Linked DNA regions of Bombyx mori. The main gene of each other region encodes a partner of the protein of the gene in region 2 in a complex. Links are inferred from orthologs where the notes say so. Each region holds a gene or a part of one and is shown on either strand. Other genes may lie near its edges. The genes, in order: integrator complex subunit 11 and integrator complex subunit 9.

Region 1 (4,323 bases), on a different chromosome or scaffold from region 2:
GCCACCCACCTTGAGATATAAGTTGCAAGGTTGTATAGTTACAACGGCTGGCTGCCCCACCCTTCAAGCCGAAACGCATTACTGCTTCACGGCAGAAATAGGCAGGGTCGTGGTACCTACCCGTGCGGACTCACATGAGGTCTTACCACCAGTAATTACGTAAATTATAATTTTGCGGGTTTGATTTTTATTACCCGATGTTATTCCTTCACCGTGGAAGTCATTCGTGAACATTTGTTGAGTACGTATTTCATTAGAAAAATTGGTACTTGCCTGGGATTCGAAAAACGGGTTATCGCTCAACACGAATGCACCGGACGTTTTATCCCTTAGGCCACGACGACTACATGTATAACGGACACCAATTTAAGATCGGTAGGTAGTGCAGAAGTAAGACACATTTTCTATGAGACTCATACTGTGGCACCATGGAAAAAGAATCCTAAACCATAAATCACCTTCCATTATTTTTAACCATAAAAAAGATGTTGCTTTGCATTTATAGAAACTTTCTTTTGTCCACACTAGGTGAAACTCAATATTGTATTTTATTGACATTTTATTTTTATATTCCAGAAAGCCAATGCTACTTTAAAAGAAGAGGACTTGAAGCACTTGAACAAACCAAACAGACTTCAGTACTTATGGTACCAGGGAAAATGCAATGTGGATATCACTTGGTGTACATAAAACAAATATTATTAACTAAAACTAATTTATTCAAAATTACAAAATAATTCATAATAAAAATCCTAAAACATGACATTTCTTATTCTTTCATTGGACTATATTGAACCATTGATTGCAGGAGCCCTAATATATAGCTACCTAAGTCTTCGTCTTGGTTTGTCCAAGAAACATAAATGTTTTTTGTGCTATCATCTTCACCTTCTACCTTGATGAGTACTGACTCAACTGATATGTTTCCTTCCGATATAGTTATAGTCCAGCCTTCTAATTTTTCCGTCAGTAAATTCTGCAATTTTTCAGCAGTCTTGATAGCTGGCCCCGGATCCTCAAAACGAACTGTACTTGTGAATCTAATGATATGCCTGTTTATTCCGATTTCATCACACATCTCATCAATGTCTAGTAATGATAGCCTGTTATCTTTCACACACAGAATCCCATTAACAACTCGCCTGCGTTTTGGATCAGGTGGTTGGGCATTGTATCTCACTGCTTCAGCTTTCAGCAACCTCAACGAGACATCAATAGGAATGGTTGTTGGAGTATTTATAACACATGTTTCACCATTAGCTGGCATAAAACAACTAATTTTGAATTCCTTCTCTATTTTATCTTTCAAAAACTCCATTTTTTGAGCTTCACCATGTACCAACAATACATTTTTGGGTTCACAATATTGTATCAATTGCATAATTCCTTTTGCATCAGCATGAGCTGAAAATGACATGTATTCTACTGCCATTTTAACTTCAACCACTTGTCTGTTTTCAAATTCAACCTTCTTTGCTCCATTGAGGATCTTGTGTCCGACTGTGCCTTGCACACAGAATCCTGGCATAATCACCATGTTCTGCTCATAAGGAGCCCATTTCTTAAAGATGTTTAGTGACAATCCAGCATGCAACATTCCAGGCGTAGCAAAAACTACCATAGCACCGGGATTATCAATGTATGTCTTGTCAAATGGTTTAATATGCTTAAAGTCAAACATATTTCTTTGAACAAATGTCTTTCTTATTTTTTGATTGGTCCATGTTATAAACATTTTATAGTAATTGTTTGCTTTTTCTGTCAGTCCAAGAGCAAAGTAAACTGGATATTTAAGATTCATACGATCCCAATATGTTTCCAATAAAATACAAAGTTCCTGTGCCCTTCCTAATGCAAACACCGGAATCAGAACCTTACCTCCTTTTTCTACACATTCATGAACTTTTTTGAGAAAATCTCTTTCACGACAGCGTTTTGAATCTCTTATGGTTGTTGCATATGTGGATTCTGTTATGAGCAGATCAGGTCTACATTTGTCAATCCAGGCGGCTCCTAAGTGCCTATCAGGTGTCATGTTGTAATCACCTGTGTAAACCACAGATTGTGACCCTACTCTGATCCAGAACATTGCAGCTCCTAAGACATGTCCTGCGTAATAAGCTTTGATTTCTAATTCATTATCCACCATTACTGATTGATGGAGAGTCACAGCTGTCACTTTTTTCATACAATCTTTAATCATTTGGGAAGTGAAGAAGTTTGACTCACCTTTGCGCTCCACTGCGACTTTCCTCATATCCTCGAGAAGGATTGGTGCTATGGCTTTAGTCGGGTGTGTCATGTAAATAGGGCCGGTATAACCAATCATTTCGGACATATAGGGCAGTGCACCGCAGTGATCTAGGTGAAAATGTGATATAATAACGCAGTCAATCTGACTCGTTATAGGGCCTTCCGGGACAATGTAAGAGAAATCAGGAAATCTTCTTTCATCGTTGTAGCCCATATGCATACCACAATCTAACATTATGTTTTTGCCACCCATGGTTAGCAAGATGCAGCTCCGACCAACATCCTGGCCCGCTCCGAGTGGCGTAATCTTAATATCCGGCATTATAAGTTTTACCACATCCAAGGAAGCTTATGAAAATATACGTTTCAAGATTATGAATATTAACGACACGAAATGATTCGCCAGTAGGTACCGTGGTGTATTAATAATCAGTACGATGTTTCATAAAAATAATTTATTACATACTGTTAAAACTCATTTAACCCTAAAACATGTTATTTATAAATAACAAACAATATTTTTTAAGTAATTTGCTGTTAATTATCATCACAATTCCGCAACATGGGTTGTATTATCTATAGTCACTAATGTCAAAGCGGTATGTGTATATCATTATTATTTTTTTAAGGTATTTTATGACCTGGTAACTAAGACTTTTAGGTCATGTCTTATTTTAATTTATATTCTTATTTTTATGAAAAATGATAAATGGAGTGAAATGAAATGAAGGTGATTAATTTGGGGCATTAATCAACTGGGATGAAATTAAATGAAAGGAGATGAAATGATATGGGATGAAATATAATCTCAGTAAAATGGCGGTCATTTACTGAGATTTTTCAGTAGACTTTTTGGAGGATCCAGAGAAGTTACGTCCAGCGGCTTGGCTTCATTTTCCCACATTTGTGCACTTTCACAGATATTAGGCAGTTAATAAACCAACGTTATTGTACATTTCAACCTGAAGAAACATTAAATAGACAAAATAAAACAAATCACTCAACTTCACTCCTCACGTTCCCACCAAAAAGTCGAAGTCAACAAGACATTACTTAAAGGTCTTAGTTATCAGGTCACAAATCCCTTAAAAAAATTGTGATAGTCTTTGTATGTATTGTTCTCAAATATATTAAGTGTATAATCTATGTGTATTATGTTGTGTTTTGGTTTAGGCTGTGCCATGGCTGTGCAAACAAAAGTGGGAATCGTATTACCAATTGAGCTTAAGTACTGATTTATAATATTTAACTTTATTGCAACACTAAAAATCGTTGTCTTAATTAATATCGTTTATTTATTCGACACCATTGAATTTCCTTAGGTTATGATTACTGTGTATAGCTTGTAAGTACTGTTGTGATAAGAGCCAAGAGAAACGCCTTATCAGCCAGAGCCGGTACCGAAGTGAGGACGTGTAAACTACATTTTCTATAACAATTTAAAATTTGATTGCCTAAAATTTGAATATGTCCGGAGATAGTTCTAATGTAATCGATCCGAAAAAAATTGCCTTAATAACTGGAATAACTGGCCAGGTATGTACTATCCTAAATGTTTAAAATGATTTTTTTACACGTACTTAATTTATTTAAATAATCATTCTGTTGAATTACCATAGCGGTACGTGTATCGTACCAAAAATTATTGTAAAAATAACAATGATTAAGAAATTAAAGTCGAAATCAAATTATATATATTTTTATTTTAACTCTTGGGTGTGCGGAGGGACTTCGCCGCTGAGGAATTTTTTGAGATGATACCATCATCTCGATTTTACCCTCACACCTACTACCTGGAGCCACTGAGTTCATCCACAGAGCATTTCCATCTTTTTTACCACGTACCATTCTGTTTTGGAATGAGCTCTCCTCATTTCCTGAACACTATGATATGTCCTTCTTCAAACGAGGTTTTTGGAGAGTACTTAGCGCTAGGCAGCGGAATGGCTCTGCCCCTGGCATTGCTGAAATCTATGGGCGACGGTAACCACTCACCATCAGGTGGGCGGTATGGCCAGAAAGAATAAAGAAAAAAAAACTTATTTTTTTTGTATCAAACTTCAGTGTTTG
Region 2 (4,350 bases):
ATTGAGGCACTACGAAGTCTGCCGGGTCAGCTAGTTATAATATAAAACCACGGATACCATATCACCACACGGATATAAATAAAATAAAATTCTTTTATAAACCGAATGCATGTATGTGTGTATGTACGTAGGCCTTTGACTGTATTCCTAACCTAGGTTTTTATGTTTAATAAACTCCGCATCCATTCACGGACCGGTTATTATTATTCGACTCGACTGTGTTATGTACTTACCTAGCGGTTGTACAGAGTTGTGTTTTTTTTATTGCTTGGATGGGTGGACGAGCTCACAGCCCACCTGGTGTTAAGTGGTTACTGGAGCCCATAGACATCTACAACGTAAATGCGCCACCAACCTTGAGATATAAGTTCTAAGGGTCTCAGTATAGTTACAACGGCTGCCCCACCCTTCAAACCGAAACGCATTACTGCTTCACGACTGAAATAGGCAGGGCGGTGGCACCGCCCGCGCGGACACACAAGAGGTCCTACCACCAGTAATTATGCAAATTATAATTTTGCGGGTTTGATTTTTATTACACGATGTTATTCCTTCACCGTGGAAGTCAATCGTAAACATTTGTTGAGTACGTATTTCATTAGAAAAATTGGTACCCGCCTGAGATTCGAACACTGGTGCATCGCTCAACACGAATGCACCGGACGTCTTATCGCTTAGGCCACGACGACTATTCTTACACTTACACTGTATACATATAAAATATATAATTACCTACAACAACGTAACAAATGTTGTGTACAATAATAGCATAACGGACTTGGATATGACTTCCCACCAACATAATTTATAATCTGAATTGACAAGTAGATAATCTAATTTTTATCACACTAAACTTGACTGGAATAACACTAGGTATATCTGCTATACAGTACAGTATAATAATAACAATGTATTTCATGGTTCATAATATATTACTTACCAAAGGTTTTACAAATAGCTTAATAAATAGACATACCCGATCCTGTGGACCGAACGGTAACAAGTCGACGTCGCTCTAAACACGTCATTACGGATCCTCCCGATTCATTATCGGTACTTTTAAGTACACACCTCAAGCACCGGTCACCGTCCTCGCCGAACCCGTCGCTTGTGACGAAGGGCTCGACGAGTAAATTAACCCATAGACATAGCACACTGAGTTTCTCTGCTCTTGCTAGGGCCAGTGTTAGCAATACTTCCGGTTTGAGCACCGTGAGTTCACCTACACGTTAGGGCGAAGCTGAAATAGCCTCTCACGGCTATCAGCATAGGTAGGAAAAAAAATGGACTAGAGAGTGATACGGCTAACTCTTTTTCCCGAGGAATGCAAATGCAACGAGTTTCATTGTTTCCGAATAACAAATTCAACGAATATGGAACCGTAGTACAAATTTTGTTAATTAATGAATTACATTTAATATCGTTTGTTTCATTTTACTTTTACACAACAGATATAACTCGTTTGTTACAAATATTTAGTTGTATGTATTGAATATGCTCCCTTTGCCTGTCGATTAAAACAATCAAATGCTTATCTGACAGATAATATCTGTAGGTAGGTAACTAGAACCTACCTACCTACATAATATAAATATATTTTGTTTAGCTATTTTGAAAGTACTTATGTACCTAATATTCATTTATTTCAATTAATGATGTTGTACAGTTATGTATTATCTATGCAATACACTGAATAAACGGTTCATCAAACCTAAGCAAAAATAATATTGAAGCCGGACAAATTGATAAAGCAGTTACTAATACATAAACATACTTTAGTAATAAACAATATTCGTCCGCAAATTCGAAATATAATATATAAACTAATAATGAAGCTTGTAAGTATGCAATATCTTCACTAATTTATTCAAAACACTTGAAAAATATGTAAGAGTTGAACTTGAAACACAAAATACAAAAATAATATTAGAATTCATACTATTAGAAGATTGTGTTAGAATTAAACCTGCAGGACGCGAAAACAAACCAAATTGCAGTGGAGTGCTCCATTTGCAAGTAGTTTATTAATATAGTAAATTATTTTACAAGAACAGCCCATACGTTTTTACTGTAATGATATCCTGGGTAGAGAGGCAGTCTCCCACATCCCCACAATTTTTACATACAATTTTGTTTAAGTGATTATTTCATAGCTTTTTGGGATATGAACCTAATACTAGAGACTAAAGGCACCACAAGATGAATGATACCTCTAAGAATTTGTCCCTCTCTTCTATTGAAGTATTGATTGCTTGGATCCAATGACTAACCAGTTAAATCGGAATGCATGATTGTGTCTGAACAGAAATAAGTAGAATGGTTTGAAATTGTCATAAATCATTCTATGTGTACTCTAAGATCACAGCTGTTATACAGGTACTATAGGGACAGAAAAATAGGTGTGGCTTTAAAATACCAGGATGGCTCCACTATTCTGGCATATCTGTTTAATTGAGCATTACCATATGGACCCCTGACTTATAAATAATATAACCAGTGCTTACCTTAAACAATGTTTGATTTGATTACAGTATTGTTTAAGCAATGATGCAGCGAAGCCTTGCTTTGTGTTGTCTTTCAAAGAGCTCCTCATAATGTTGGATTGTGGGCTGTCATCCCACTCTGTGCTCAACTTCCTACCGCTGCCTCCAGTGCCTAGCACTCGACTCGCATCCCTGCCTAATTACACACCACCACATCACAATGATCCACTCTTGGAAGGGGTATAAAAATTAAGCTTATTACATTTCTTATTATCATTATTTATATATCAGTACCTAGGTATAAAGTGGTTACTGGAGTCTCTGGTCATGACAACATTATTACCACCACCCACCTTGAAACATGAAGTTGAATTCTCAGTTGTATTGTATGATGGTTGTTCCATTCTTCAAACAAGAGGCAATCACAGCAAAAACAGACAGGATACTGAATCCACCACTAAATATGGTATAGTCAGTATGCTGCTTTAATACTCACAGAATGCTTATTCTCTGGTGAATCCATTAGGTACAGTCTTTAAGCAAAAAAACACATTTCATCAATTAATTATTTTATATACAAACATTAAATTAATAAAAAACTCAAAACTCCTCATTAAAATAATTTTTAAACTTATCCAACTGTATCTCTCAGTTACATTACACGTACCTTCCAAACTGCATTCAACAGATTTCTGATATAAAAAATCAAAGGGACTCATATTTTAAATCTGACTCCAATGCTATGATTAAAAACCCTATGTCAAATAAGTAATAACATGTTAAATTTAATGATATTTCTTTATAATAAAAACAGAATCAATATCAGGTGATATTTAAACTAACCCATCTCATTACAGGAACTAAAGGAGTGTTGCGGCAGAGTGTTTGTTGATAGCATGCCTGAGTTTTGTCCGCCTCTCGATAAAGTAGTCGATTTTTCTCAGCTAGATGTAATTTTAATCTCAAATTACACTTGCATGCTGGCCCTGCCTTTTATAACAGAAGATACAGGTTTCAAGGGCCAAGTGTATGCCACTGAACCTACTCTACAAATAGGAAGGTATTCATTCTCTATTCTTTTTATGCCTTCAAAAGTATAATGATAAAAAATATACATTTCTGTATTGTATATATGGTTATAGAGTATATAACAACACCATATTATTGTAAACAGAATATGCTTATTGAAAGTACAGTATCAGAATGGATTGAAGCAGCAGAAAGATGTAATAAAGATAATATATTTGGAGGTTCTACCTGGAGGAGCTGTCGGAGTGGGTGTGCTCAAGCGGGTCGGGGTCGGGCTCGGCCAAGCGTTGGAAGGAGGCGGTGCACGTGCTGCCCGCCCCCCTCGCCGACGTGGTGCGGCCCCGCGCGTGGCGCCGCCTGCTCGCCCCGCACCACGTCGCCCGCGCCCTCGCGCGCGTCCGCGTGGTCGGCTACGACGAGAAGGTCGACCTGTACGGCGCGCTCGACGCCACCGCCGTCAGCTCCGGCTTCTGTCTGGGCTCCGCCAACTGGGTGCTGCGCTCCGCCCACGAGAAGGTCGCCTACGTGAGCGGCTCCAGCACGCTCACCACGCACCCGCGCCCCATCAACCAGGCGGCTCTGCGGGGCGCCGACCTGCTGGTGCTGGCCGCGCTCACGCAGACGCCGGCGCACAACCCGGACCACATGCTGGGCGACCTGTGCGTGCACGCCACCGTCACGCTGCGCGCCGGCGGCTCCGTGCTGTGCCCCGTGTACCCCAGCGGCGTGCTGTACGACCTGCTGGAGTGCCTGTCGGCGCACCTGGACACGGCGGGGCTGGCGCACGTGCCGCTGTACGTGGTGTCGCCGGCGGCCGAGGCGTCGCTGGCCTACAGCA

What was found.
Region 1: the proteins of integrator complex subunit 9 (region 2) and integrator complex subunit 11 are in contact, whole or in part, in a cryo-EM structure (PDB 7SN8), measured with the Drosophila melanogaster proteins. The link is inferred for Bombyx mori from reciprocal best matches to the Drosophila melanogaster genes IntS9 and IntS11. Residues at the interface, in NP_648838.3 of Drosophila melanogaster: Glu128, Tyr198, Asp199, Glu200, Lys201, His230, Asp333, Ser334, Ala337, Tyr338, Asn340, Ile341, Glu344, Gln351, Val354, Tyr355, Leu356, Pro357, Asp358, Asp359, Pro360, Arg509, Lys510, Leu511, Asp512, Arg513, Ile514, Tyr515, Ile516, Ser518; in NP_651721.1 of Drosophila melanogaster: His94, Lys97, Ala98, Pro135, Thr137, His139, Gln140, Ser141, Glu149, Lys151, Lys274, Thr277, Tyr278, Lys280, Met281, Phe282, Ile283, Thr284, Trp285, Phe294, Val295, His296, Val450, Lys451, Ile452, Pro453, Val454, Asp455, Ala456, Ser457.

What each region holds. Positions count from the first base shown.
Region 1 is NC_085124.1:3,287,629-3,291,951, forward strand, and holds integrator complex subunit 11, read right to left. Parts: upstream 2,887-4,323; 5' UTR 2,576-2,886; coding exon 770-2,575; 3' UTR 699-769; downstream 1-698. Other genes in the region: probable tubulin polyglutamylase ttll-15, read left to right, coding at 577-690; GDP-mannose 4,6 dehydratase, read left to right, coding at 3,721-3,789. UniProt on the Drosophila melanogaster protein: RNA endonuclease component of the integrator complex, a multiprotein complex that terminates RNA polymerase II (Pol II) transcription in the promoter-proximal region of genes.
Region 2 is NC_085111.1:141,741-146,090, reverse strand, and holds the start of integrator complex subunit 9, read left to right. Parts: upstream 1-1,538; 5' UTR 1,539-1,829; coding exon 1,830-1,838; intron 1,839-2,531; coding exon 2,532-2,723; intron 2,724-3,340; coding exon 3,341-3,543; intron 3,544-3,733; coding exon 3,734-4,350. UniProt on the Drosophila melanogaster protein: Component of the integrator complex, a multiprotein complex that terminates RNA polymerase II (Pol II) transcription in the promoter-proximal region of genes.